7 linked regions of the Ovis aries genome follow. The protein of the gene in region 5 interacts with the protein of the main gene of each other region in a biochemical or structural test. Links are inferred from orthologs where the notes say so. Each region holds a gene or a part of one and is shown on either strand. Other genes may lie near its edges. The genes, in order: UBE2J1, UBE2B, UBE2E2, UBE2J2, UBA1, UBE2A and UBE2T.

Evidence for each region.
Region 1: the proteins of UBA1 (region 5) and UBE2J1 form a complex in vitro, tested with the Homo sapiens proteins (2 studies listed by BioGRID, with this or other methods). The link is inferred for Ovis aries from reciprocal best matches to the Homo sapiens genes UBA1 and UBE2J1.
Region 2: of the proteins of UBA1 (region 5) and UBE2B, one has a biochemical effect on the other in vitro, tested with the Homo sapiens proteins (10 studies listed by BioGRID, with this or other methods). The link is inferred for Ovis aries from reciprocal best matches to the Homo sapiens genes UBA1 and UBE2B.
Region 3: of the proteins of UBA1 (region 5) and UBE2E2, one has a biochemical effect on the other in vitro, tested with the Homo sapiens proteins (4 studies listed by BioGRID, with this or other methods). The link is inferred for Ovis aries from reciprocal best matches to the Homo sapiens genes UBA1 and UBE2E2.
Region 4: of the proteins of UBA1 (region 5) and UBE2J2, one has a biochemical effect on the other in vitro, tested with the Homo sapiens proteins (2 studies listed by BioGRID). The link is inferred for Ovis aries from reciprocal best matches to the Homo sapiens genes UBA1 and UBE2J2.
Region 6: of the proteins of UBA1 (region 5) and UBE2A, one has a biochemical effect on the other in vitro, tested with the Homo sapiens proteins (6 studies listed by BioGRID, with this or other methods). The link is inferred for Ovis aries from reciprocal best matches to the Homo sapiens genes UBA1 and UBE2A.
Region 7: of the proteins of UBA1 (region 5) and UBE2T, one has a biochemical effect on the other in vitro, tested with the Homo sapiens proteins (4 studies listed by BioGRID, with this or other methods). The link is inferred for Ovis aries from reciprocal best matches to the Homo sapiens genes UBA1 and UBE2T.

What each region holds. Positions count from the first base shown.
Region 1 is NC_056061.1:48,178,242-48,182,505, reverse strand, and holds the start of UBE2J1 (ubiquitin-conjugating enzyme E2 J1), read right to left. Parts: upstream 2,801-4,264; 5' UTR 2,696-2,800; coding exon of another isoform or gene 2,665-2,695; intron 2,019-2,664; 5' UTR 1,690-2,018; intron 1-1,689. UniProt on the Homo sapiens protein: Catalyzes the covalent attachment of ubiquitin to other proteins. Functions in the selective degradation of misfolded membrane proteins from the endoplasmic reticulum (ERAD) and is essential for cells to recover from ER stress.
Region 2 is NC_056058.1:43,581,272-43,585,571, reverse strand, and holds the start of UBE2B (ubiquitin-conjugating enzyme E2 B), read right to left. Parts: upstream 2,801-4,300; 5' UTR 2,674-2,800; coding exon 2,630-2,673; exon of another isoform or gene 521-2,629; coding exon 440-520; exon of another isoform or gene 1-439. UniProt on the Homo sapiens protein: E2 ubiquitin-conjugating enzyme that accepts ubiquitin from the ubiquitin-activating enzyme E1 and transfers it to a E3 ubiquitin-protein ligase. In vitro catalyzes 'Lys-11'-, as well as 'Lys-48'- and 'Lys-63'-linked polyubiquitination.
Region 3 is NC_056079.1:42,012,424-42,015,923, forward strand, and holds part of UBE2E2 (ubiquitin-conjugating enzyme E2 E2), read right to left. Parts: intron 1,044-3,500; 5' UTR 1,036-1,043; coding exon 860-1,035; intron 1-859.
Region 4 is NC_056065.1:50,556,919-50,560,958, reverse strand, and holds the start of UBE2J2 (ubiquitin-conjugating enzyme E2 J2), read right to left. Parts: upstream 2,801-4,040; 5' UTR 2,622-2,800; coding exon 2,544-2,621; intron 1,389-2,543; exon of another isoform or gene 1,202-1,388; intron 844-1,201; exon of another isoform or gene 1-843. UniProt on the Homo sapiens protein: Catalyzes the covalent attachment of ubiquitin to other proteins. Seems to function in the selective degradation of misfolded membrane proteins from the endoplasmic reticulum (ERAD).
Region 5 is NC_056080.1:57,623,805-57,627,996, reverse strand, and holds the start of UBA1 (ubiquitin-like modifier-activating enzyme 1), read left to right. Parts: upstream 1-1,392; 5' UTR 1,393-1,499; intron 1,500-4,192. UniProt on the Homo sapiens protein: Catalyzes the first step in ubiquitin conjugation to mark cellular proteins for degradation through the ubiquitin-proteasome system.
Region 6 is NC_056080.1:114,919,888-114,923,890, forward strand, and holds the start of UBE2A (ubiquitin-conjugating enzyme E2 A), read right to left. Parts: upstream 2,801-4,003; 5' UTR 2,661-2,800; coding exon 2,617-2,660; intron 2,496-2,616; coding exon 2,415-2,495; intron 2,052-2,414; coding exon 2,026-2,051; intron 1-2,025. UniProt on the Homo sapiens protein: E2 ubiquitin-conjugating enzyme that accepts ubiquitin from the ubiquitin-activating enzyme E1 and transfers it to a E3 ubiquitin-protein ligase. In vitro catalyzes 'Lys-11', as well as 'Lys-48'-linked polyubiquitination.
Region 7 is NC_056065.1:79,694,581-79,698,647, reverse strand, and holds the start of UBE2T (ubiquitin-conjugating enzyme E2 T), read right to left. Parts: upstream 2,801-4,067; 5' UTR 2,748-2,800; intron 1,787-2,747; exon of another isoform or gene 1,676-1,786; 5' UTR 1,617-1,675; coding exon 1,508-1,616; intron 1,023-1,507; coding exon 953-1,022; intron 611-952; exon of another isoform or gene 1-610. UniProt on the Homo sapiens protein: Accepts ubiquitin from the E1 complex and catalyzes its covalent attachment to other proteins. Catalyzes monoubiquitination. Involved in mitomycin-C (MMC)-induced DNA repair.

The sequences.
Region 1 (4,264 bases), on a different chromosome or scaffold from region 5:
CCCATGTCTCCTGTGGCTCCTGCACTGCAGGCAGGTTCTTTACCACTGAGTCACCAGGGAAGCCCATGGATAGAGTAACTCCTATATTTCTGATGGAGGTAATGGGTGCCTTTGCACCAATTTCTTATATGCCAACCATCTGCTGAACGAGCAGATAGGGCCCTTCTGAAGAAATCTTGCCACAGGAAGTTCTTTATACTTTATGTCCCCTTACTTTGTACTCTGAGACCCTGATACTTAGACCAGAAGAGACCCAAAAAAGAGAGCAGGGTGCCTGATCCAGAAGCAACTACTGACAGGGTAGTCAGAGGCTTAAGAGGTAACCTCACATAGAGTTCTGCCCATTATCACAGGTCCATTCTAGAAAAATCATTAAAAATACATTGTTCCATCTATAAAATGAACAAATTTACTATCCATATGCTAACAAACTGGCCTTTAACCAGTTATTTGTATTGTCTTAATTGTCCCATCCATATCTCTAAGACAATTCCACGTCAGATAGAAAAAGGGTTATAGCTCTTACATTGTGCAGCGTTTTTAACCACTTCCTTTCATGCATTCATTACCTTAAAAAGTATTACAAGACAGAAAAAAAACAAAAAAAACATTTTCAAAAAAAGAAAACATTTTCACTATGCTTTCCGCACTTTCAATAAGTTCCATATTTCGGCTAATTCACTTTTTCTGTGAACACCAAATGATCTGTAGAATTAAACCAAAAGTTTAAAAAAACTCTTCTTTAGAACAATAGCACTACCTCTGAGGAAATGAAACCGAAAAGACGAAGCAATTTATTATACAGCTAGAAGCATGTCTACCAAAGAAAGCTCAACCAGTACCTACCTTACAGTAAGTCATACAGTGTAGAAACAGAAAAGAATTCTTAAGAATTTTAAAAGCTTATCACAGTCTCGGGTACAATAACCTATCAAAATTCAGCAAAGTCCTCTGACAACACTCTCTTGGGACCCACCAACACTCCATTCCAAACTGCACTATTACTCATTTTCATTATTCTCTGGACATTCCACTAAATACCTCGGCTGTCTCAAGGAACTTGGTACCATGTGACCGAACAGTCACCCTACATTTTCCCCACATATTTTTATTAAAATCTAGCACAATTTTCACATTCTAAGCATTCCACCATCTAATCTTAAAATTAAGCTTTTCTTTCCCTCGTTCTCTTTCATCTCCCTTTATTCCCCCTGGCTTAGGAGATGGGTTGAGGATGGCAGGGGTGGTGAATCCACTGAAATTGAATCCTATAAACGTATTTCTTGGAGAGTCCAGACCCTTCCGCGGATTTTTTTTTTTTTTAAGTCTATGGCTCCCCCAAACGTTATGACTGATTCTTGGTTACCGGAGAACGTTTCTTAGCCTGACAGAACTCAAGTTAACAAAGCTCTGTTCAATCAGTATCCTCAGGCTTTTCTTCAGTTTTTGTTATGTTTTTAAGTCATTAAAAAAAAATCCAAGATTCACAGTATCAACTCTCTCCATGAGCATGTTAATCTTGCTGATTCTTACTGAGAAGTCGCTTCTTCGGAAGGAAAAACAAAAAAAAGAACCAATAAAGGTTGGCCAAACCATCACTAAAATCCTTTATTAGGATTATTTAGACCTGAAGTGTGGAGTTTCTCCCTCTGAACAAATTTATCAAGGTACAAATCCAATACCACTTACAGAATCCAAAGGTTTGTTTGAAGCCTGTCTTAATCTGAGAGCTGCTTCCTTTTCGTGCTTCTTAATTTTGTTGTTTAGTCACTAAGTCGTTTCTGACTCTTTCGCGACCCCTTGGACTGTAGCCCGCCAGGCTCCTCTGTCCACGGGATTCTCCAGGCAAGAACACTGGAGTGGGTTGCCATTTCCTCCTCCAGGGGATCTTCCGGACCAGAATGCAACCCGCGTCTCCTGCACTGGCAGGCGGATTCTTTATCGCTGAGCCATCAGGGAAGCCCGCTTCTTTATTATACACCAGAAAAGTATTTGAGGCTAGGATTGTTTGGCTGCTTCTGTGAATGAAGCAGGGGTATTAAAGACAGGAAGAGAAGTTTCTATGCCTGAACAGAGACATACATACATCATACCAGTATGGCTAAAATCTTGGTTAGTTCTAAAGTACATGGCTCAACTAGTTTTCTTAGCTTTTTGGTTAACCGCTTTAGTCCGGAACATTTCCTTTATGTCTGTAATTCTATTTGCCCCAAAGGCTGCAAACAGGACGTTTAAACGAAATCCTCAAATGAGAGTGAGTCAAACAGCTAATAAAAGTCCGGTGGCGGCGACGGAGAAGAGCTAACGACCGTGTTCAAGGCGCAGGTAGGGCAAGGGGTTGATCTCTATTTCTATTACTCACGGCCGTCACCATTACACCTGTTCTCGGGGACGAGCTGATAACCCAGTTCTACGTGGCGAAAATGAGGGAAGGGCAGTCGGGGTGCGGAAGGGAGACCCCAGGTTTTGTGCCTGCCGGCCCGCCCGGCTCCGCGGCCTGCACCAGCCCGGCAGGCGGCGGGCTGGCGTAGAGCGCGGAACCGGGAGCGGAGCGGCGAGTGGCGGCCGACGCGAGGGGACCGCGGCGCGGGTCCCCGGGGTCCGGGGTCACTCCCCCATCGCGCTCACCGTGCGGCACCGCCCCCTGCCCACAGCCCCGCTCACCCGGACTCTTCAGGTTGTAGCGGGTCTCCATGGCGGGGGGCTGGCCCGGCTCCAGCCTCCCGGCCCGCCGCCGCCGTCGCCGCCTCTCCGCGCCGCCGACTCCCGCGTCTCAACTCGGTTCGGGCCGACCGGGTCTGGCCGAGGAGCCTCCGCGGTGGCCGCCCCGCCCAGGCCGGGACTGCGGGCGGGGCGGGAGGGCGCGGGCTCCGCGGTGGCGCCGCCTCCTGCGCTGCTCCCCCGCCTCCCAGAGGGCCGGGCAGGCGCCGGCGCCGGCCGGGGTGTCGCTGAAGCCGGGGCTGGGCTGGAGGTCAGCCTCCTCGTCTGGCCGCGGGCCCAAAGCCGCCACGGCCGCCCGGCCTGCGTCACCCGCCCTCGCCCAGGTTTTGTGAAGTTGTCCTGACGTGGCAGTCGCTTCGTGGCGGGGGCGCGGCTCGGCCGCTGGTCACCTCCCCGGTCCCGCGAAGCGCACTCCCGGATCTGCAGGAGCGGACGGCGCTCAGGTCTTAGCCTTGCCCGGGCCCACCCGGGCTCCCCAGGCGCTTGCGGGACTTCCCGCGGAAAGGCGCGGCCCGAAACGCCCCGACCGCCCTCGCTGCGGGTGGATCTGGGCCCAGGTCCTCGAGACCAGTTCAGAGCCACCCCAGCCCGTCGCCCGTGTGGGCCGGCTACGCCAAGTGCTTTGTTTTCAGATCGGTAGCTGTTTGAGGTGGAAACAGTTAAGCAGGAAAGGAGAAATCCAGTGATAAGAGAATGAGAAGGGTTTTTATAACATTTTTTTTTCCCCCAGACAAATATGCTTGGGTGCAAGGCAGTTAGTTAAGCATTTGGGGAGATTTTTTAAAAAGAATTGAATCGGGTTCGGAAGCATACATATATGAAAGGTATCCCCTCAAAGAACACATTTCGGGCTTCATTGTAGAAACTGACGTCACGAAAAAGACGTAAAAAGGGACAAGGATTTAGGAAAAGAGGGGGGATTGGGACGACGGAGAGGATGAAGAGGGAAGGAGAGAATTCTATGTGGAATGAAGAGGGTTAACCAGGCTGGGCAAATTTTATTTTGTTATATAAAAATAGAAAACTTTCTTTTTGAAAGGTAACAATATGCCACCCCAAAATATACCTCTTTGGCATAAGGATTATCTTGAGCTGAATATTTTTGAGAAAGAGCAGGCACAAGAAAATCTCTGAAAATAGAGTATAATTTATCGTTTCCTAAGGGGCCGCAAAGAGTCGGACACGACTGAGTGACTGAACTGAACTGAAGGGAAATTCACGTTTTTTAAAACATTTTTTTTGCTGTGCTGTGCTTAGTCGCTCAGTTGTGTCTTCTTTCGACCCCATGGACTCTTTGCAACCCCTGGACTGTAGCCCACCAGGCTCCTCTGTCCAAGGGGATTTGCCAGGCGAGAATACCGGAGAGGGTTGCTATACCCTCCTGCAGGGGAATCTTCCCAACCCAGGGATCGAATCCAGGTCTTCCGCATTGCAGGTGGATTCTTTATGGCCTGAGCCACCAGTGTCTGAGAAAGTTGATGGAGGAGGTACTAACAAATCTTCGAAACAACCTTTATCCCTGTTTCCCTGTGCCCTTTCATTA
Region 2 (4,300 bases), on a different chromosome or scaffold from region 5:
TCTTATACAAATACGCCTACATGCAATACATACTATATGTAAAATATAAGACTGCACCTTGAAAGGCTCCATACAGTTATTTCACATTAAGCTGTCAAACATTTTTTATTTAAATTCTTACTATGGTGGAAGTTATCAATATTTTTGGTTCCTACTCTTTTTACAGTTCTAGTAGAATACATACTAAGCATTTGCTTGGCACATTTTGTACAAACTTATCATTCTCCTGTAGTCTCAAATGATATTTTTATCAAATAAAACCCACTGATTATAAAATCAAATTTTATGTGACTGCCAAAACTCTATCAGAATTTTTTTTAAATCTTACAGTTTCTGTAAGATCCCTCATCCCTAGGAAAGTTTCCCTTCCTAGCTGTTATACATTCAATTTTCTTAAAAGAATCACCATACCTACCATTTGTTATTTCTTTCAACTCACCCAAATATAACTGCATTCCACTGCATGATGTTGTTTTCTGATGGTGCGCCACTGACACCCACAGGTGGGTCCTCTTGCAATCTAGAAATCCAGAATAGAAATTTTAAAAGTTGAACATTAAGGCCACTAAGAAGGCCAGTCAAACATCTTTCAACCATCTACTTTGAGAAACAAACTAAATCCATTTTCTTGTTGTGCTGAGCTGGAATAAACCATACCACTTTAAATGGCTTGGGAGTCATCCCTCTTCAAATATCACCAAGGTTAAGATATCTGTTCAAGAACTACTTTTAACAATAACAACAAAGGAAAAACCTCAAGTGTAAAAAAACACTATTTACTCAACTATCAATTTTGCTACTGTAAACATGCAAAGGCTGTGTGAGTCCTAACCAAAGCTACTTGGGCAACATGGCCACCAAAAAAACTCTCCCCCAAACAAAATATAAAGACCCCACCTCAGTGTAAACATTAAATGACTGAAAAACACTTGCATCCAGTTTAATCAGGAAACTAGTTTTGGGCAGTAGAACTACTTTATTCCATTTGCGTTAGCAGCAGCTTTTAGAGTAAGCAAAGCTCTGGCTAGGTTTTCCCTCAGTCCCTATTTTAAAAGCTCTGCACCAATACTGCATTTTACCTCTCAGATCATGCGCCCATATACAGAGCTACCTTCCAACACCTGTTACAAACTCTTGCAAAAGACGACCCTTGGAAAACTACCGAAGGTGCCAAGCACACAACTCAGAATTAAGCAGAGAACTGCAATGAGAAACCAGGGTACCAAAGGCCAGGAACCTCGAAATTTTATTATTGGAATTTCACTCATGGGAGCTAATCTGAAATCTATGGTTTCAAGCTGTAGAAACAGAGTTTTGCACAAAAAGGAGTATCTCCTTTTAAAACTGTCATCTCAGGAAAAAAAGTAAACGCGACACTAAATATACACACACACACACACACACACACACACATAAACACACCGTCATGTGATATGATTCTTGGAATTAGTCCCCCAAAATGGCTTTTAGTCAACCTTAAGCAGTACAGGCCACGACGAAAAGAAGAACCCTTGGAAGATACGGGGCGTGATATCGCCCACCAAAGATAAAGGCTAAGTTACCAATACACTCAAGGCCAAACTGGGCAAAGCCCCAAACAATGGCTTCCAAGTGCCTCATTTAAAGGTTTACAATGAAGTTGAGAGGTTACTTCCTGATAAGCCAATCCAAGTTTTTACACTGGATTTTTTCTCTCGAGCAGGGCAGATCTCCCTAGAAAAACACTTATAAATGCGCACGGGAGCGTAACGCTAAGTTTTCTTGGTTATTTTCTTCTCCGTACCTGTAAGCATTCAAAGTAAAACAACTGGGGGGAAAAAAGTCACTTCCTCCTCATCAACCCTAATATCTAACAAAACCCTATTTTACAAAAGAGGCTCAGGGAGTATCAGCTTAGCCCCAGCCTCCAGAAAGGCATTTTTCCAGACCTTGGAGGCTATAGATAGGTCTTTACACACCAGGCCACAGAGCTGAGTTCCAGAAAGCACTGGCAGCCGGGTTTGCCAGCCCGAATCGCAGCCCTCTAAGCCAGTTCTCAAGGTCCTTTCAGGCGGGCGGGGAGGGATTGGGGGGGGAAGAGTCGGGTTTCGGAGGATGGGTTAACAACCTCCGGCCCTCGCGCATCAGACCCCACCCTCACTGCAGAAAGAATGGGGAGGGAGGCGGGGGTTGGCCCCAACCCTGGCAGTCGGAAAGGCGGCAAGGCCATCGAACAAAGCTGACTGGTGTAGCTAGCGGTGGAAAGGCTTCTGCAAGGGCTCGCTCTTAGGGCAGAGAGAAGAGGCACCGCAGGGTGCAGAGGCGAAGGATGAGATTTGAAAGCCAGGGCGAGGTATCAGGCAACTGGCCGCAGTGGGCAGCAGGGAATCGTAGGACAAACCATAGCCATCTTTTTACTTTTTTGTGGGGGTAGGGTGGTGGTGAGGAAGTATCAAAATTTCTTACGTAGGACAAGTGAACAACCAAGGAGAAGAGAGTGCTAAAGCGGGGCTGGAACTGGGCTTCCATCTGTCCCCCTGGGCCCACAGCAGCCCTCTTAGGGTCAAGAGGGGAAGGTGTCCCGGATCCCCACCCTAGCCCCGGAGCTTCGGGGAGGAGTCGTCATTCAGGCGAAAATGAAGGCCCTTACCTCTTGAAATCCCGCATAAGCCTCCTCCGGGCCGGGGTCGACATGCTCCCCAGCAGCCCCGCGGTCAGTCTGAAAGAAAAGAGTCCCGCGCAGCCCCCCCACCCCCCGGCGCGGCGGCCGAATCACTGTGGGTCACCGCCGCCGCTGCCGAGGTTGCACAAACAACCCTGCAATGACGTCTCCCTCCGCCGCCTCCAGATCCCTCCGCCCTCCGCCGGTACCATGCAGTGAGGGGTGGGGGAGAAGGGAACGGGACGTAGGAGAGCTAGTTACGGGGCCCCTTCACCAGGGACCTTATCCCTTTTGTCTCCTTGAACGAATTGACCAATTACTGTTCCTTATGCTCAGACTGGAGGTTGTGATAAAGAAGTACCGGAACTGAAACAACACCAACCCGTCTCCCCCTCTTTCACTAGTTTAGGCTCAGCCGGGTGGGGAGAGAGGGACGCATCCGGGGCCAGAGATTTCAGGGAAAGGAGGTAGGATGACGTAAGATCACGTGACTGCCGGCGGCGTTGTCAACAATCCACCTCCGAGGGGGAGGGGACGAAGTATCTAGAACCACGTGTCCCTATGACGCCATTAGGACGGATCACGTGAGAGCGTCTCCTGGATCTAACTTTCAGCCGTCTTTCAGCCCGGTAGTTAAATTTATGGGCTGAGGGCTGGTAGGCACTTTTATGTTTTTTCTCCATTTTGTCCTGTGGACAGCTATTGATGAGATTGTGTCGGAAGCAGTAGTTTGTTTTGCTTCTTAAATCTTTAAAATAGAGCCCCAAATAATTTGGATTTAAAACTCCCCTCTGGTTGGCTCAATGGCTTATCAAATCTGGCATCTGAGGAAAAGTGAAGGGACCTCCGTTTTCCTCAGCTGAATGCAGAGGCCCATACAAAGCGAAATCCCCTGAAATGCTTCCTTAGGGCCACCAAATATTACTGTATGAGCATTGCAGTGTGTTTCCAGGGTTGGCGATGCTGGGCAGAGATTAAAGAACGGTGTACAGATTGTTTAATGTTTGTTTACAATCCCCACAGGATTACGGAATTTTGTTTATCCTTTATGAGTCTGCTCTTATTTGAGGCTTTGTGTCAGAGTCCTTGGATTGGTCTACAGTGGGGTACCATTGTATTTGTCAAGAAATGTGCAGGTTTGATCATAGAGAGTGTGTATAAAGAGAGTGTAGGTGACTAGTTGCCAAACCTAAAAGTTTGACTCACATGTGGGGGAGAGATCATGCAGACGTGGATAGGGGTTGTATATCTAGCCTGAGTAATTTATTTCAGATTTTCAACACTAGTAAGTTAATAGCCTGAAACGTCCCCCACCGGGGCTCAGAGATACTGGCCGTTGGAATTCTGACATTATTTCTAGTCATTGAGTTTCCTTCCTCTATCGCCTCCAATTCTGTTCTTAAAGACTTTTTTTTTGGCTGAACCCTGAGCTCTTTAAGTCCATTTGGGTGATTCCTCAACCCAAGGTGTTACAGTAAGACAGAATGAGGAATATGGCGTTGGGCATACTTTCATTGAACTAGAAAGGGTTAGTTTCCCCTACTTTTCTGGTACCTCTCTTTCTTCAATCCCTGAATTCTTTCTCTTGCTTTTATTAAATGCCTTGGTAATCAAGTTAGCCAGATCTAATACTTGATAGATACCCACCGACAAATGTAA
Region 3 (3,500 bases), on a different chromosome or scaffold from region 5:
CTTCCTTTGGGATTGGAATAAAAACTGACCTTTTCCAGTCCTATGGCCATTGCTGAGTTTTCCAAATTTGCTGGCATATTCAGTGCAGCACTTTTATAGCATCATCTTTTAGGATTTGAAACAGGTCAGCTGGAATTTAATCACCTCCGCTAGCTTTGTCGTAGTGATGCTTCCTAAGGCCCACTTGACTTTGGACTCCAGGATGTCTGGCTCTAGGTGAGTGATCACACCATCGTGGTTATCTCAGTCCTGAAGATCTTTTTTGTACAGCTCTTCTGTGTATTCTTGCCACCTCTTCTTAATATCTTCTGCTTCTGTTAAGTCCATACTGTTTATGTCCTTTATTGTGCCCATCTTTGCAAGAAATGTTCCCTTGGTATCTTGAAGTGATACCAATTTTCTTGAAGAGATCTCTGGTCTTTCCCATTCTATTGTTATTAATTCCTGCATTTCTCACTTTACTAACAGTGAGTGAAGATAATCATTCAGTAACTATTTCAATAGACTCCCACTTTTATTCTCTGCTGCTCAATAAACTAAAATAGTAATGGTCTAAGGAACCATAAAACAAATTATCACACTTTACATGCACTTTCCTATTCATATTCACCTAACAATACATACACACACACTACGGATACGTAGTTTATAATTTTGCCATGCTGTTTAATTGACTTTAAATACCAAAAAGTTCATACTGCATACAATTAAAATCATGAAAAAGAAATAATCTTGAAGAAGAAAAAGTCCATGAACTTCATGGTCCATATCCCAGAAAAATGATTAAATGCAAGAGAAAGATAGAACTTCAGGTCATAAATTGATACTAAAAGCAAGGAAGTTACCATAACCGAGGTACCTTTTAGCACTAGTGGACAACTTAGCAGCTGTTTTGCTGGATATCTTCCCTTCCTTTTTCTTGGGCTGAACTTGTTCTCTCTCTGGTTCCTGTTGGACGCTTTCACGCTGGTCTCCATCGGAGCTTCCCCCACTAGTGCCTGGACTGTCGTCAACTCTTTGTGCCTCAGTGGACATTTTAGATCCTGGATTAAAGAGTCAAAACAAATAATTTATTCAGTTGGGGGAGGACTGCAGAAAGGTCGCTCGAGAACAGAGAGAAAGTGAATCTTACAGGAACCAAAGAAAACTCACTATAAAATGAATGACTTGGTCACTTTACGTAACAGCTTTGGGAGCTGCCAAAACTTTTCCTTCATCCATTCAAAATGTATTGAGAAAAGAAATGAAAACAAATATATATACACAATATGTTCACAGCAACATTATTCACAGAACCAAAAAGAGGAAGCAACTCATTTACCCATCAGCTGACAACGAACAGATAAACCAAATGTGGGATATCCGAGCAATGGAATGCCATCCAGCCACATACAGGAATGGAGTACCGTATGTGCAAGCTACGTCGTGGATGAACTTTGAAAACATGACGTTCAGTGAAAGACACCAGGCACAAAGGGCCGCAAACTGTACAACTCCATTTGTCCGAACCGTCCAGAACGGGCAAGTGCATGGAGACGGAAACGTCAGGTAAGCGATCGCCAGGGGCCGGGAGGGAGGGAAGAAGGGGAACGGCACAAAGCTAGGAGGTGCAAAGTTTCCTTGAGGGGCAATGGAAACGTTCTTGGATTAGATAATGGTGATGCACAACTCTAGATATTCTAAAAACCGAGCTATACATTTTAAGAGAGTGGATTTTACAGTACATGAATTACATGTCAATAAAGCGTTATTGAAAAAAATAAAACTGTGCTCCCCACCAGGCACTGTGCCGGGCTCCTGGGTCCTAGGATATGCAAGTTGATTCAGAGGTCAAGACGACTTGCTAGGTGCTGTAAGTCAGTAAAAATGGCCACAGGAGCAGAGAATAGGGCAAACACTGGCACCAATACTGCATGAATACATCCTCCGGCTGGGCTAAGGTTAAATCCTCTAAGTCAGTCAACTGTCTGAAGTAATCTTTGTGATAGCAGAGGCCTCCATGATTCTAAACAGAAACTGATAAAATAAAATAAAATAATAATAATAAAAAATAAAAATAAAAAAATAAACAGAAACTGAACCGTAGGTCGGTGCCAGCCCTGATCCCACAGTACACCAAGCAACCAGGCTTCACAGGCGATGAAGACTGTATGGAGACTCTGAAGGAGCCCATCTTTCCCGCCGCGGCCGGGATGAAATATACCTCGAGGCTTTCAAAGTCCCTTTGCTCCACATGCAACTCTGATCACCAACTCAATCTTCTCAGGACCTTGGTTCATGGGTAAGCTGTCACAATCTAGATAACGCACAAAAAATTCCAGTTCTCTCTTGGCAACGACCATTCTATCATCATTGATTTCTGAGTCTTATTACCATGAGGACGTCCCCTGTGACCCAACTAGCTTAGAGTTTACTGACAAATCCAAAACCAAACGGACGAAACCCATGCCCAGACTGTCACCATGTTGCTGTCCCCTCAGCACCACCAGAGCTGGCACGCCTACCTTCTGGGGCGCCTCTCTGCAAAACACAGAACTACCTTTAAGGAGCGCCACCAACAACACAAAGTACACCTTTAGGAATCCCAGGTAAATGGGGACAAATGCCTTCTGAAAAAGATACTGTGTAGCTCTTAGTCAAATTAAGACTTAAAATAAGACTTACTATGTAAAAGAAAGATGCCTCGAATAAAGCAGTTTGATTACTACAGCTGGTCCAAATGTAGAGTGAGCTGACAATAACTAAAATTCTTTCTCACTCAAGATTTAACTTATAGCTCGCTCTATTTCACTTGTAGCTTGCTCTAAATCAAAGTGATTTCGTAACACAGAACTTGAAGTGGTTGAAATGAGAAAGGTTAAGACAAACCTGAAAGAGAACTGAGGAAGCGGGAAGCAGAGGGGGCGAAGAGCCAGCAGAAAATCCTGAATACCTTCAATAAGACATCACAAGATACAGCCCCATCACCCTCACCAGCTCCCTTTCTTCACGCCAGACAAAACAGGTCTGCCCAGACAGCTCTGAAGCAGGGGAAACCCGTCGGCTTTCCCTCTCTTTAAATAGAGCACAACAGTCTCCTCAGCTGGAGCACTGGGGTCACTTAATAGAATCCTGAGGTTTTATATCAGTATGTTCCACATCCAGCTCGAACAGGCCTATCATATTTCTTGCTTTCTTTCTTATTTTCATTTTTATTTTACTTAGAATTCTCATCCTTGGATTTAACGCTGATTTTTTTTTTCAGCTTACTTCTTTGAGTAAAAAAATAATAATATGAGTTTAAACCCTTGTAAGTACATACATAAGAGCCTGTGACAACAGCTGTGCACGGGAGTAAGAAAGAGTAGTTCTTAGGGAAAGGCCCTCACATGCAGCAAAACGCTGCTGGCAATATTTTGAGATATGCGAAACGATTGAGAAATCCTTTTATATGTCTTAAACAAGAAGCAATCCATTAGATGACAAATACACAAAAACCTAAATGAAGTAAAATTCTTTTT
Region 4 (4,040 bases), on a different chromosome or scaffold from region 5:
ACAAAATTTCAGGGCAGACAGTCTGAAGGCCAGTAGCCTGAACCAACATCCCGGCAAGAGTCCCTTCAGTACTACGTGGACACAGACTCGCCCCTCATCCAGCACTGCCTGCTCGGCTCCTTTCTCTCCGCCCAGAGACCTTGGTCTGACCCACCAGAGCGCACGTGACACCCCCGTGCCCAGGACTCCCACGGAAGTCTCTCCCTTCACCAGTGGGATTGCTTCACAGGCTGGATGGAGGCCCGCAGCTGACGGGGGGCCACCGCACGTGCCACTCCCGCACCTGCACAGAGGTCGGCTCGGCTAAGGTGTGCAGATGACAGAGTGCTAGCTCTAGGCACTGGCATCCAACAGTACTTGCAGAGAGGCTGGGCTTTTCAAGTAAGCAAGACCCTAAAGTTACACCGAGGGCCCCTCACCTAGAGATAACAGAGCCCTGACCACTGCCCAGAGAACTCTCAAGCCCTCATTAACTCCCTGGGGGCTGCCCGGGGACCTTTCTAAGCATTTTCAGGCTGGGCCCGGCGTGAGTTTGAGAATGGATGTGAACTAAACATAGTCCAGATAAGTGGTGTTAACTGGGAAGGGGGCGAGAAGCGTACACCTGACCAGGGGTGGATCGGGACAGGTAACTGGCAGACGGGGAGAGCAGGCAGGCATAGGGGAGAGCAGGCAGGCATAGGCGAGAAGCCGGCCCAGGGCCCTCTCCAGCCACCCAGCATGGAGCTTCCCAGTCTGACCGCCCGAATTTTGTTTCCACCCCAGATGTTCATGGCTCGGGGAACTTAAGAGGCGTTCTGGGGTCCTAACTGATCGAGATGAAGCGGCGGCGGCGGGCTCAACGGCAGCCAGCCCACCCCGACACCGATTCCCAAGATACGTTTACAAACCAAGCTCTACGCCGGCTGGTCCTGGCGGCGCCCGCAAGTGTGCCACTAACGGGAGCCTTTCCATGGGACGTCAGCCGTGTGGCCACCCGAATCCCCAAGTTGGCCGGAGGGGGGACGACCCGGCCCGGAGCCCCGGGCGCCCCGCTGTAACCGACCTCGGGTTCCGCGCACAGAAGCTCCGGGCCAGGCCCCGCGAGCGCGGACGCAGCGAGGACGGGCCGTGCGGAGGCCCCGCGCTCCCCGCTCGGGCCGGCTCCGGCGGGGCGGACGCGAGGAAGAGGCCCCGGCGGAGGCCCGCGGCGCACGCTCACCTCTCCCCGTCGCCGCGCGTGGGCCGCCGCCGCGCTCAGGCTCGCCGTGGTCGAGGCCGGAGCAGGGAGCGGAGAGTGGGGCCCGCGCCGCAGAGCTGCACCGCGCCGGGAGCGAGCCCACCCGACCGCAGCCGCTACCGCCGCCGCCGCCGCCGCCGCCACCGCTTTTGCTGCCGCCTCAGCTTCCAAGATGGCCGCCCACGGGGCGGGGTAAGTCGCGCTTCCAGTTCCGGGGCGCGGTTAGCTGAGGCGGCCGCTCTAGACGGCCAGGCGGAGGTTGCCTGCATCTCGCTGTCGCCTCCCTTCCCGGGAGGCAGAAGCAGTCGGCGCATGCGCACTGACAGACAGCTCCGAGGGGCGGAGAACGAGCTCAGGCAGGTCTGGTCCAATCAGCCACGGCTGGCCGTCCTGTTGGTCCCTCGGCCACATCGCTGTCAGCGGTCGCAGAGCTCCCGGTCCCCCCACCCTGCACGTTCCCCTCCTCATGATCCCCTGCCTTCCGCGGGAAAACAGGCCCAGTTAGAGGGTAACCCCCGAGGTTCCGGGATGAGCCCCGCCCAAGTTCCCTGGTACCTTGACCCTCCCACCGCCCCCTTCCAAAGAATCGGCCCAGTCCCGCCTGGAGGACCCAGTTCTTATGCCCACTCAACAGGGAAGCGCTGGAGGCAGTCCGCGTCCCCGGCGACCGAACCACCCGGGTCCCTGAGAATCGAATCCTGGGTGACCTTGTGTGACCGCAGTGATTGTGGAGCCAGGAGCCCCACTGGAACCTGTGCCAGGTGGGGTCCGGCGTAGGAATCCTGCCCAGCCCCTGCCCAGGGGGAAAGCTGTCCTCATAAAAAGTTGCACTGTTTCCCGGCTGAATTTTCCGCCTAGCCCATGAATAGGGTCATTATGCAGCAGTGGCCGCTGCACTGAGGCTCACTTTCTGCTCCCACGGTCCCCTCCCAGGCCCTGGGGGAGGGGGAGGCAGAGCAGGGAGGTGGGGAACCCAGGGAAGTCCCTGGGGAGCAGAGAGTCTCTGGGACAGCACTGGGGGAACACTTCCGAGCAGGTGAGGATGGCATTCGGGTGGGGGGTCTGGGTAAGGGAGGGCTGGGCAGCGGGCGGGCCAGCACTCTCCTCACCACCCTTCCTGGTGAGTGGGGTCTGGGGTGTGCCCCCACAGGGCTGTGCCAGGGCAGACGCTGCACTGACTGTGAGACAGGCCTTGGTCATCAGCTGGGACTAATCCAGAGAGGCTGTCGCTAGGCAGATCTGGGGTTCAAACCCCAAAGTCTCACCCTTGACCACAACCCTGACTGCCTCTCAGTATACACCACCGGTCAGTGGGGTTACTAACCACATGACGATTGACAGTGGACTCCAAGCTCCGACAGGTCCAGCCATGGCTACTGGCAGAGGGCAGACAGGGGGCCATGATCGCCACTGAATCTGGCCCACCCGGGGCACCTCAGACAAGATATTACCAGTCACTGCAGTGCTGGCCCAGGCCCAGGGGCAGAAACAGAAGTGCCCATCGCCCCTCAGGCCAGCACCAGGCCAGCCAGCCACGGGGAAGCAGCCTGCTACCTCCTCCTGCTGCGAGTGAGCTTCACTGGCCCTGGCCCTCCTTCCTCATGGGGAGGCTGACAGTCCCAGGCCCCACCTCCTGCTGCCACACCCAGAAAACATCTCAAGCTTCCTTCTCTCCTCTGCCTCCTCCAGGCTCTGCCATCCCCACGCAGGGCGGGCCCAGCTGTTTTTAGCTCGAGGAGAGTTATGTAAGGGAGGCTGCCCTGAGGCGCTGGGTGTTTCAAGCACAGGTGTGAGAGAGACACAAGACCAGACCCTGAGCCCCACACGGGCAACATCACACACTCGGCCCATCTCCAGTGGCCAGTACCTCAAGGAGCCCCCTCCGTGGTGGCCGGAATCCCTGCTTGACACTGCAGTCAGCGCCTGGGGGACAGGGAGGCGCTGCAATAGCACCAAGGAGGCCTCCTACTTGCCCGTGGGCAGGGACTCCAGATGGTCCAGCTCCCCAGGCTGGGGAAGATGCTCCTGGCTCCCAGAATCTGGCACACATGCAGAGCCCATTGGCTCAGACTTCATGGCTGCTGCACCAGAATCCTTCCAGGAACAACTCTTAGCTGTCTCTGAGGGTGGAGACACCCATGGGTGTGAAAGTAGAGCCCAGGGGTCCCATGAAGTGCTGAGTGCACACAGTCTGGAAGGAGGCACATTGATATCCCTAGGTCCAGCTTCAGGGAAAGCCACCGCTTGAAGGCTCAAAGGGGCCATGCTCAGCAGGCTGGGGCCAGCCATCCCTCTGGAGAGAGGGTGGGGGACATAGGGCCCTAAATAATTTCTCTAATTCTCTCAACACACAGCTGTTAAGGAGCAGCCACACGAGCCCCTGTTGTGTGAGGAGCTGGAGATGCCCTGTCTGGTCCCAGACAGTGCCTTCTGTTCCTCCAGTCACTGGAAGAGCCTGGGGAGGCAGGAGAGGGGTCAGGCAGGGAAGGGAGGAGGGGGCTGCTGGCCTTGCTGCCGCTGGACACAGTCTCTGTGTCTCTGGCCTCCCAAAGGTGGGTTCTGGGGCAGCCTCCTCAGAAGCAGGAAGATGGGGCTCTGACGCTGGCCCCATGGCATCGGTTAGTCTCACCTTTGAGTCTCAAGCCTCAAGAGGAAACTCAGCCTCACTTTGTGCTTGAGGAAACGGGCTCAGAGAGGTTGAGTAATTTGTTCAACGTCATACAGCCTATGACTGAGGAAGCTGTGATTCGCACTCACACCTAGATGAGTCCAGGGCCAGCTCTTCCCTGAGCGTGACTTCCCTCTCCCAGAGGTCCCCGGC
Region 5 (4,192 bases):
AATATGTATTTGAGCAAGCCCCGGGAGATGGAGAAGGACAGGGAAGGTTGGCATGCTGTAGTCCATGGGGTCACAGAGAATCAGACATGACTGAGTGACTGAACTGAACTGAGTCTCCTTGCTGTGTTCTTTGCTATGTTCCCGGAGCCCTGCACTTAGTAGGCACTCAAGGAATCTTTTTCAGATGAGCAAATTTGGAGGATTTGAGGACAGGATATGTGATACAGAATTTGGGATAAGGTGATAAAGGCATTTTGTGTTAATTACCTTGGCTGGAGCAACACCTTCTCTGGAGGGCCTTCTGTAACCAGACTACCTAAAAATGCAACCTTCCCCCACAGATTTCCCCTTGTGCATGCTGAGTCACTTAAGCCATGTCAGACTCTTTGAGACCCCATGGACTGTAGCCCGCCAGGCTCCTCTGCCCATGGAATTCTCCAGGCAAGAATACTGGAGTGGGTTGCCATTTCCTACTCCAAGGGATCTTCTAGACCCAGGGATCAAACCTGTGTCTCTTATGTCTACCTTCACTGGTAGGTGGGTTCTTAACCCCTAGCGACACCTGGGAAGCCTAATTTCCCCTTACCTTGTTCTATTTTTCTCCGTAGTAGTTATCACATATACACAACACATATTTACATGTCTATTTAATTGTATATTCACATATGAATATAGACTATACACAGTGTGTATATATTTATTATATATGTAGGGTTTTTTTTTTTTTTGGCAACACTGCTCTCTTGTAGGATCTTAGCTGACCCATCAGTCATTGCCCTGAGCCTTGGGCAGTGAAAGCACGGAGTCCTAACTGTCAGGGAATTCCCTACAGATGTAAATTATTTACATATTGATACTAGTTATCATGTAACATTTACAAATATTGATACATTTTATTAGATAAAATTTTTACATTTATGGGCTGTCTCTCTAGTCTGTCAGCTCCCTGAGAGCAAGGAAGATGCCTAGCACCTGGCCCACAGTTTGAGCTCTATAAGTGTCAAATGAATGAACTCCTTTGGTCACCTGAGCCTCAGCTTTTCCATCTGTAGGATGAATGTGCCTTTCCATTTGGAGTTATTTCCGTGTTCTGATTCCTTTTCCTACCCACCCCACCCCCCTGAGTACAGCTCCCGGAATTCCACAGCCCAGGTTCACATTTTCCAGTACCCTGGGCGCTCCTGCCCACCACGTGCACCAGGCACCGGCCCAACTGGACTACGACCCCCAGCATGCCTCGCGCGTTTGGGAAGTACCACAACTCATAGGGGTGTCTGGGTCTGACACAGGCTCCAAGAGAGCAGGATCAGGGGAGGGCTCCCCTCTAGCTTGGCATCTGTGGTACGTCCCAAACCGGCCCCCCGCCCCCTCAAGGCCCCGCGCTTCTGAGCTCAGCGCAAACTCTGGTTCTTCTACGCCTGAGGTGATTTGCTCTTCCGTTGCCCCGTGGCTTCGGCTCATCTCCAGCAGGAAGGCGAGGCTTCCGCCCGGCACAGGGGGTGAGCTGGATGAAGGTTCCCCCCAGTCCCCCGAACAGCATTCGAAGGAGGGGGCTCAATTTCTGGGATCCTCGAAGGGGCATATTTGGGAGCTCTGAGCCCCGTGTGGCATTTAGAGGTGGCTGTTTTTGAGGGGACGCAAGTGGCGTTAGGGACTCCGGGGTGGGACTTTGAAGTCTGTTTTCTGAGCGTCCCTCGGAGGCAGGGTTTATACCCCTTAGAGACTGGGTTTAGGGGGATGTTTGGGGAGACCCTTAGGATCCGTGTATGAATACTCTTGTCAGTGAGGTAGGATTTGGTGTGCTTCCCAAGGGGAGAGGCAAAGTTTGAGGTTCCTGAACTCAAGGCGGAATTTGGGAAGGGCTTGATTCAGGAAGGGTCCTGGTGACGGTGGGAACAGGCGGGACCGACGTGGCATGTGGAGATATCTAATGGCCTTTGTGACCTCTGCTTCTATTATGATGTCTCACCGCGCTTGGGTATTAAAGGCTGAGAGACCGGACACATTGAGGCCCACATGTTGTTTTAGGAAGAGGAGCCCCCAGCCCAGGCTGTAGAAGGGACGCTGGAGCCTAGCGTGCTAGGCTCTTCCGAGGGGACAGAGTGTCACCGGCTTTCCTTTGCCATGGCTTTATTCGCTATGCGTGAGGAGATGAGCTGTTGAGGAAGACCATTTTGGCCCTTTTCGCACCTGGTTCGTTGGAAGTATCAGCTTGTGAATTATTCACAAGGGAGCGGTTCATTGTGCTTAAGGGGCGTGCTGAAAGGGGCGCCTTGCAGTCTGCCGGGTAAATTTAGATCACACTGATAAAGCCTAAGAAGGTGAGTAGCGGCCCGAGTTTTCTGTGGCTTGTCTAGGGGCATTGTGCATAATTCATGAGGGGCGTAGCTTTTAGGGCTTCAACGGCACGATCCGCTGTTGGCTTTTCCTTAAGAGGTTTCAGGATTTAAAAGTTTTGCGTCTCACGAAGGGATGAGGCCTGGCGCATTGTTCATTCTTTGCGGCCCGATAATCCCAGATTATCAACAAAGACTCTAGATTCAAGTCACATCTATCCTTGCCAGCTGTGTGATCTTTGGCAGATCTGTGAACTTGAAAAAATGAGTCTGAGCATAATGGTGATCAGGTTAGTTTGCACTCATTTAGCAGCCTTATTAGACCATTTAATCCCCACAACAACCCTGGGAGGTAGGTTATTATCGTCCCACTTTATAGGAGGAAACTGGGACACCAGGAGGCTAAGTAATTTGCCTAAGGTTACTCACAGTTAGTGAGTGGCTGAGCCAGGATTGAAATCCAGTTAGTCTAGTTCCAGAGTCTGTAGTCTTAAATACCATAATGTCTCTCTCCCACCCACCCAATTCACTGGTACTTCTACTACTACTACTACTACTACTACTACTTTTAGTCATATAGCACCAGGTGGCCAGGCACTGTTCTGAGCCCTTTCTACATGTTTATTCATTTAAACTTCATCACAAGGTAGGTTACTATTGTTCTCATTTTATGGGTGGGGATACAGTGGCCCAGAGAACTGTCTGGTCCCAGGTCACAAAGCTAGTCATCGATGGGTGGAACTGATTTTTTGTGAGGATTTGAGAACTCAGGAGGTCTCCTTTGACCTGAGACCTGAAGGAAGTGATTCCCTGCTCTGCATTCCTGAGACTAGTGGCACAACGCATGGAAAGGACTCACCAAAGGAACCACCACATGGCAGGCGATTGGTTATTATTAAAAAGAAATGTAGTGGGTGTTTATCGTGTGCCTGGGGCTTTGGTATACAGTTGTGTCTCTGGTGACCTGGTAGTCTGTGCTACCTATTTAATGAACATTGGTGGCCTTAGTGCTCTGTTTTACAGTGTAAATCTGGAAGGGTGTTTCAAGGCATTATTTTTTATATAATGCCCCAAGTTGGGGGTTTCTCTGGTGTCTGGGTATACCTTCACCTGTAACTAATTTTATATCAATACAAAATATTATATTTACATGTTACCTTTACATTAATATATAATGCTTTAAAAATGTAACAGCGCTCTGTGCCAGCACTACTCTGAGTTAATTTCATAGTTTATACTCTCTGGTTTTCATAGTGACACATTTTGCCTTTATGATGTAGGTGGATTCTACTACTACCCCCATTTTACGGTTGTAGAAACAGGCAACTGCCAAACGCAGGTAGTAAACCTGGATTTGGGTGGACCAAAGCAGCTCTGGTTCACGTGCTTTTAGTTAACGGTGGGGAGGAGGCAGCTCCACTTCCCCGTGGGTTTCCCCTGCGGCTCTGCAGCATCTTTCATTATTCATGAACAGGAAGCGGTGACCACGTTGCCTTGGCTGGAATACAATAATCCTTACTTGCTGGGCAGGGCTGGCTGGAGTATTTCTGTCCATCCAGCCTCATGCATAATTCATCAGTAACTGGGTGGGACCTTTCTTGACCTCTCTTGAGTTTCCAGGTTGGGCTGCAGCAGTATCACTATTCATTATTCATGAGCCAGTGAGAGTGTTTTCTTGTGTTAGCCCTATTTCTCTGTTTACAGGGTATCAGATGCAGCAGTGGGCGGACCTGTCTCTTTTGTCCTTGCCCACCTTATGCATTATTCATGAGATGTCGCCTCAGTCTCCTTGGCTTCCAGGCTGCAGCAAGATTATTCATTATTCATGAGCATCGGGGTGTGGCTTCCATGTTTTA
Region 6 (4,003 bases), about 57 Mb from region 5:
TGTTCCTAATCGGGCCTTTCCAGTAAATTTCCTAGCTATAAATAACAAGTATTTTTAAATGGTCAAAAAAATTCTTGTAACCTTGGTTAGTGTTTGAGACACCTGAGGAAGCATTCATGGATAGCAGACTGCTCAAAAGAATGAATCAGAAAAGGGTACTGTCATTCAGCCTGAGTAATTCCTTTCAGTAATGTCAGGGTGGAGAGACACATCATCAAAAATAGAACCAGTAATGTCAAGGGGGAAGGTCCAGGTAGATAATGGATTCCATAAGTACTTCTCCAATTCATACCACTTAAAGCGAGAGAAGCACCCTTGAAATATTTAAGTTGCCAACCCCTAGCAAAGCGATGTACTATTAATAAAGTTGCGCCCAGCATAAAGCAGTCCGAATAAAAATCAGGAGGAAAAAAGAAGCCAATGAAAATAATTTGCTTTGCTGGAGCTAAAGCAAATACACAGCTAATCTGCACATAAAGCTTAAGTATGAAGAACCAGCAACCGATCTAATGGAGGAAAACTAAGCCTAGCTAGCTTCTGCTATGGATCAGAATCAGTTCAAATGATTTACCTCACACACCAAAGTAGTATGCCTTCAGGATCATACTCCCTTGCTGTCATTTCTTTTTATCAAAGCACTGAAGAACAGTGATATTTACCCAGGAGGTGAAGGCAGAGAAGAAACAAACCACCTAGATTACTGTTTACAATCTGCTAGGGAAATCTGAGTGTTTGAGACGAATCCTAGAATTGGTTTGTATTCATTTACCTCACAACATGCTGTGGTTGGTAACATCCAAAGGCAATCTGACTTGGCAACTTTGCTTGTACTGAGTAGTTTGTAGAAATGCTTTTGTTGCCACCTTCAAATGGAGGTGTATGCATATGTGTGTGCATATGTGTGCAGATTTCTCTCAAAGGCTATATGACCAAAGGAATATAAGGCATTGAGAAGAAAATAAATAACAGAAAGACCCTTTTCTGTTTAAAAATACCTCAAATATTAAAGATGTCAATCAGTAGTTCAAATACTTTTAATCATCTTTTTAAATGCATTAAGCTTTCAAAAGCAATTAACTATACACACACATACACACACATTTGAGTGCACATAAAACTATATCTATGTCAATTTCCTGGTTGTGCACAGTCATTCCAGATGTTACCAGGGGAGAGGGGGGAACAGGTGAAGGGTACACAAGGTCTCTCTGTATTATTATTTATTACAATTCCACACAAATCTATAATTATATCAAAACAAGAAGCTTTAAAAAGTCCTTAAAAAGCAACTTAGTGTGTTTTTAAAAGTCAAACCTAAACCTAAAAATCATGTACCTGTAAGTACGTGTAGTATCTTGAAGTAGGTTGGACACTGGTAAGAGAGTACTTTAAGGCTCCCCTCAATTGTGAAACTGCCTTGAGATTACTGATCATAAAGTCTTGATAAAAGCACACGCTGAAAACTCATTTAAAAATAAGAAACAAGGAACTGGCTATTGAAGGTGCCATTAAAGACCACTTTAAAGCAGTGAGGCTGAAAAGCACTCAATGTCAGATTATAGAAACCAGACAGTTGTGTGCAAGGGATTCCTGCATCCATTCAACATCCAACACCACACATGAGGCACCTGCTGAACACAGTTCCCACCCTTGTGACAGAATTCTGAACCAGACAGTCCCTGGGGTCTCCGAGTTGATCAGCAAGTGGTTGGGTTGATCCTGATGGAGGGGGTGGTGGTCCTGAATTTAGCAAGATCACAACCCAAACCTCACAAACCCTTAACATCAGTGGTATTATGCTCCTTTTAAAAAGTGACTGCCTTACTCAGATTTTTTTAAGCAGCAGTTCTAGTCAAGCGGACAATAGCCAGAACAACCTGCCACAGACTGGACTCCTCTCAAGTCTTTAGCAGGCAAAGGCTAGGGAGAAGCGGGTTATTAAGTAGGAGGCACTTCCAGGCTGACTGGGAAACACTTTCCCCAGAAGATCAGGGTCCCAAAAGGTGGGTAAAGAAACTCTCTTACCATCCTCAAACGGGGTCCCTTCAGGCCTACAACACAGAGAGAAACAAGTCAGTTCCCACATCAGGGGCTCCTCTCTCCCCGGTTCATCTGTTCGCCCCACCTCTGGTAAACCACCGCTTCCCGGGTTGCAAAGCCACGACCAATAGAGCTTTGGGGCTCAGAAACCCCAGGCAGGCCGAAGCGCCACCGCTCCCCGCCCCGCCCCCCTCCGAACCCCAAACGGTTCCCCTGGCAGCGCGAACCGAGCTAATCGAGGCACAGGCTCCGGGGAGGCGCCTAGGCCCAACGAGCCCCAAACCTTCTCTCTCAGTCCCCGCCTCCGCACCGGGTGGGTCCCAGAGGGCACACGGGTCCCCCGGCCCTCACCACCATCCGGAACGCAGACTCACCCAAAAATGACCGCGTTCCAAACCATGATGTTGTTCTCGGACGGAGCCCCGCTGACTCCGGCAGGAGGATCCTCCTGTAACCTACAGGGAAACACCACAGGAACCTCCCGCTATCCTGAACCCGCCGCCCGCCCGGCCCGCTGCCGGCCCCGCCCTGTACCCCGGCGGCAGCCCCCGGCCCCTAGAGTCCCGGGCGGGTTACCTCTTGAAGTCCCTCATGAGACGCCGCCGAGCCGGGGTGGACATGTCTCTAGCGGGGTCAGGGGTGGGGCATACACCGAGCTCTCGGGTCCCCGCGGGTGGTGAGGAGGCTGAGGAAGCCGGAGGAACCAACGGAGAACCGCCTAGAGGAACCGCACTGCCTCTCCTAAGTCGAGGGTCGATCTGGCGCCGGCTTAGCACCACCCCAGAGTAGACCGGGGCTGAACCAACCTGGAAGGAAACGACGGGGGTGGAACGCCAAACGCCGGACAGACCGTACCAAGACGGGACAGGGGTGGGGGGGGGGAGGAAAGTTGCTTAGGTCATTAAACCCCTGAGGGACGGGGGGAGCGAGGGTGAGAAGCAAGCTGCGGGCCTCATGTAATTGCCGGGAACTCAATAGGATCGGGTGGTGGAATCGGTCCACCTTCACTTGCCAATTCTAAGACGAACCGTGGGAAGCTTTTTTTCTACTTTTCCTTTTTCTTCTTCTTCTTTTTTTTTTTTTTTTTTGAGATCAGATCACTTATTAAAGTGCGCACAGTGGCTGAGGGGGAGAAGGATGAAGTCTCAATCTCAATGAGGACAGAGTGGATGAAGGCGAAACCAGTTCTCCTAAAGCCAGAAATCTAGGGGGTACACCTCCTACGGACACGGGAAACTGGGGAGGAAGCTGTGTGACTGGTCAAAATCACTGAACATCCAAAGAGTAAATCGACCTCGATGGTGAGGTCGAGGGTCCCTTCTCTATGGGATGAATGTGCGGGCCCCAACATTTAGGCCGATGATCACCCCCAAAGCAGAATGAAATGGTGATGTGTGTCCTGGGGGAGGGAATGAGAGCTGGAGGCAAGCAGAATGAGGCTTTAGCTTTGGGCACTCACAATTTGGCTCTGGAACCACATTTCCCCTTGACAGTTCAACAAGCCAAGTGGCTACTATATGTTCAGAAGAGTCCAAGGGTATGAGAATATCCGATTGCAGAGAATTGGAAGAGCAGTGAGTCTGAAGTAAAAGGAACGGTAAGATGCACGTGAAAAAGCTGTAGGTTGCAGGGAAGAGTCACAGTTAGTATGTGGACCTGCAAAAGCAATAACAGTTTTAAAGAATGTTTTTTAAAAAGGTCAACTCCAAATAACATAGAAGGTAGGCAAAATACTCATTTAAGAATTTTTTGGAAATATGAGAAAAGTAGGTCTAGGTTCACTCAGGGAGAGTTTTGAATGCCAAGCTGATGGCTTCCTTGGAAGTTGGTTGAGCAGAAAGGCAACATGATCAGAGCTGTACTCACTGGAGACGGGTCCCAGGACAGCAATTAGAAGACTCTTGAAGTATTCCAGGTGAGAGGTAGTGAACCAGGCAATGACAATAAAAACAGACAGGACTTG
Region 7 (4,067 bases), on a different chromosome or scaffold from region 5:
TGAAAATTTACAGTACTGAAAACCCTTTCACCCACCACCTGGATCAAGTCCCTAGCCCTTGAAATACTTCAGCATGATCTCCCAAGAATAAGGTCCCTCTCCTATAGAGCTGCAAGATTGTCAGTACACCCATGAAAAAAACAAAGGTTACCCCTCAGTCTCACCTGCCGCTCGGGCTTCCTCAGTCTCGGCTGCAGGTTTTTACAGGTGGATTTTGAAAAACAGGGCCCAATGCTGATTTGTACACTGCACCTGGTTACTCTTTCTCTGGCGAGACACACACCTTGGAAAACCCCTGTGTGTCTCAGAACTGACATCCCTGGGATTACTGACCTGCTTCTCTTGGGACTTGTAACAAACCTGGCCTGTGAACAGGTGTCTACAAACCACAAACTACAACCACTGCCCCTGATGAGAGTCTTACAGCACACGCGCATGAACAGGGCCTCCACACAGGCCGGGGGGCCGGGGCCACGGGGGCCGGGCGGGGACAGAGGGCTGGCGCTTGGGAAAGAAAAAGTTCCTGAGATGGATGGGTTGGGGTGGCTGGACAACAGTGGAGTGCATCCACGCCCCAAAACCATTCACTTAAACAGGGTGTGAGTGGTCAGTTTCTGTCTGTGTTCCTGCAGTGACGTGTGTGTTGCCACAGTGACGTGTGTGTTACCGCAGTGACGTGTGTGTTACTGCAGTGACGAGTGTGTTACCACAATGTTTTGTGTGTTAGTGCAACGGTAAGCCCAGGGTAGGGGAGGTGGTGTTAGATGTGATCTAACCCAGGTTTAAGAAAAAGAGATTGAACTCCAAAGAGAAGGTGCTGGAGGTGACAGGAAGTCCTGAGGAGATGAGGACCGAGATCCAGGCCCCGTAAGCCCTGTGCGCGACGCTCCACGACACTGCTGTCTTCCAGCAACTGGTTTAGCCTGGAAATGTGAATGTAGCTCACACTGACCTCTCTGGAATGTGAACTTCCAGCTTGAAAACACCTTTTTCATAAGGTGTGTTGGCTCCACCGAGTATCTCTTGAAAGAAAAAGAAACAGTGAAGAGGTAACTGGGTGCCTGAAGCAGCTCACCGCCTGGTCCTGACGGGATGCTAGGTCTGGGACAGCTCTCAGGGTCTGACAAGCCCCCACACGAGGCGCCAGGCCGGGCTGGTGTCACCCAAGGGCTACGTGGGAGATCTGGCCACAGGCGACAGATACCTGCAGCCCTGCTGGGAGGCCGGCTGCGTTCTGACCACGTGCTGCCTGGTTTGGCCTCACAGATACGTAAAGGTGACGTAACCGTGGTGCTGAACTGCTTCAGAGCTGATGCTCAGGTCTCGGAAATAAATCAGCAAGAGGTGGGGTAAAAGGCCAAAGAAGAAATGCCCTGGAGACCTTTTATAAAGGCAGCAAACGAGGCAGGCAGATGCACTTGTGCCCTATTTGGAGGAACAGATGGTGTTCACATCCCCGCGCAACTGTGGACAGGCTCGAGACCCGCACGCCTGGGGTGACACCTACGTGCTCGCAGGTCTTCCATCCGGTCCCCGTCCTGCCAGCACGTGATGCCCGGGGGCGGCTCCGCGGCCAGCAGGCTCAGCTCTCGCTTCAGACGCGATGTTCTCTGCATGACCTCAGGCAGAAGCACTCAGTCTGCACTGGCTGGGATCCTGGGGAGAAGAGGGGTGCCTGCCAAGGGTCAGCAGCAGTGAATTCTAGTGCCGGCTCAATTCACTGAAGGAGACAGCCCTCACATCACTTGCTTGTTTGAGGAGTCTTGAGTTTTTTCCCTCGTGCTATCTATTCAAGCAAACACATTTTAAAAATAAAGTATAAAACAATGAGAAGTTTCTACAAACAAAACACTGAAGTTCTAAAGCGAAGTCGCTCAGTCGTGTCCAACTCTGCGGCCCATGGACTGTAGGCCGCCAGGCTCCTCCATCCACGGGATTTTCCAGGCAAGGATACTGGAGTGGGTTGCCATTTCCTTCTCCAGGGGATCTTTCTGACCCAGAGATGATGGGAACCCGCAACTCCTGAATTGGCAGGCGGATTCTTTACCACTCAGCCACCAAGGAAGTCCCAGAATTAGCAATACTACAGGCAAATTAGTATGTTAGAACTAATCACTACAACAGCCATTCATGTCAATTATTCCAAGTTTCTTCATCCGCGTCTTGAGGACCATCATATCATCTCTGGGACCCGGTTATCTTCCTGGGTAGTTAACTACTGTTATACACTGTGGCGCTCCTAGTAAAGCATCCTCTTGCCAATCCAGGAGTCTCGGGAGACGCTGCGTGGCTCCGTGGGTCCGGAAGCTCCCCTGGAGGAGGGCACGGCAACCCGCTCCAGTATTCCTGCCTGGAGAATCCCACGGACAGAGGAGCCTGGCGGGCTACAGTCCATGGGGTCGCAAAGAATCAGATACGGCTGAGCGACTGAGCTCCGTTTACACACTGACCCTGACTGCTCCTCTCAGTAAGCGGGCACTGGGAATCAGCAAGGATAAAACAACAAATATAACAATTAATGAGCGTCGGGGGGGGGGGGCCGGGAGCAACCGGTGGGCGTGGCGGCTGGGAAACGGCTGGGGCGGCGGTGGGGCGCGGGCCGGGCCGGGGCAGAGCGCCAACCGCGCTGCCAAGACATGCAGAGCGTCCGTTCTACAAGCGACAGTCGGAGAAGAGGAGGCTCCGCAGTCAGGCGGAAAGAAGGCGCCCCCAACCCCGCCACCCCGCCCGCCCGCGGCCTCTCTCACCTGCGCGGTCGCTCCCCGCAGTGCAACAGCCCCGAGCAGCCGGCACCGCGCCTGCGCGAGCCCAGCCGCTGCCTTGCCCCGCCTTCCGCCCGGGAGGCTGTGATTGGTCCGGAGCGCCGCCCGGGAGGCGCGCAGCCTCCGATTGGCCGGGCTCCGGGCGGGCCCCGCCCCCGCGCTTTGAACGCGAGCGCGGCTGGCTGGGACCGTCGAGTCTTTGGCTCGCTTGGCCCGGGAGGAGGCGCGCTGGGAGGGGCCGGGAGGGTCTGTGCCGGAGCGGACTGCCGTCCGGGTGTTCGCGCGGTGGGGCTGCCGCCACAGGACCGTGAGACCTGAGAGCCCGAGGAGCCGGACGTTCGGAGCGGGGTTCCGACTGGGGGCGCCCGGCGCTGGGGCCTCCGCCGCGATCGGGCCGCGCCCGCCACGCCTCCGGCTCGGCAGCGGGAGGAGCGGCCGGTCCTGCTGGACCTTCCCGCGGGCGGTCCAGTCGGGACCTCTGCCGGCCCAGACCGGCGTTGAGTAGCCGTGGTTCCGGGTGGCCGCGGCGTGGGCGTCCTCTCGGCCTCGCTGGCGCGCGGTGCTCCCCGGGCTTGCGGGCCCCGCCGGGAGCCGCGAGCCACACGGGACTCCCGTTCCTGTCCAGTCAGCTGTCGGTCCGCAGTTACTGCCAGCGCCCACTCACTGCGGGGACGTGTTTTCCGTCTTAACGCTGGAGTTGGCTGCCTGTCTTACTACTGATACTTTCTATTTTGATCTCTTCAGCATGGTTCCTTATTTTCCACCTCAGCTATAACTGTGTCGCAATTGCTGTTCTGTCTTCGGAACTGAAGTTAACTCCTTCCTCCGGCGGTTTTCTGAGAACGTGCTGTGGCTGTGTTGTGCTCAGTCGTGTCCGACTCTCTGCGACCCCGTGGACTGTAGCCCTCCAGGCCAGAACACTGGAGCGGGTAGCCGCTCCCTTCTCCAGGAGATCTTCCCAACCCAGGGATCGAGCCCAGGTCTCCCGCATTGCGGGCTGATTCTTTACTAGCTGAGCCACCAAGGAAGCCCAAGAATACTGGAGTGGGTAACGTATCCCGTCCCCAGGGGATCTTCCTGACCCAGAAATTGAACTGGGTTCTCCTGCATGGCAGGCGGATTTTTTACCAGCTGAGCTACCAGGGAAGCCTGGAAATCTTTAACACGTCCTTTAGACGAATCAGGCACCATGCTAACTCTGGTGGAAAGGAGAGATGGTATGATGAACCAAGCAAAGACCTGTAGTTTGGGGAACCACAGAAAAAACGGGATAACAGGGAAAAGAAAGAAAGAGTCCCATGGGCG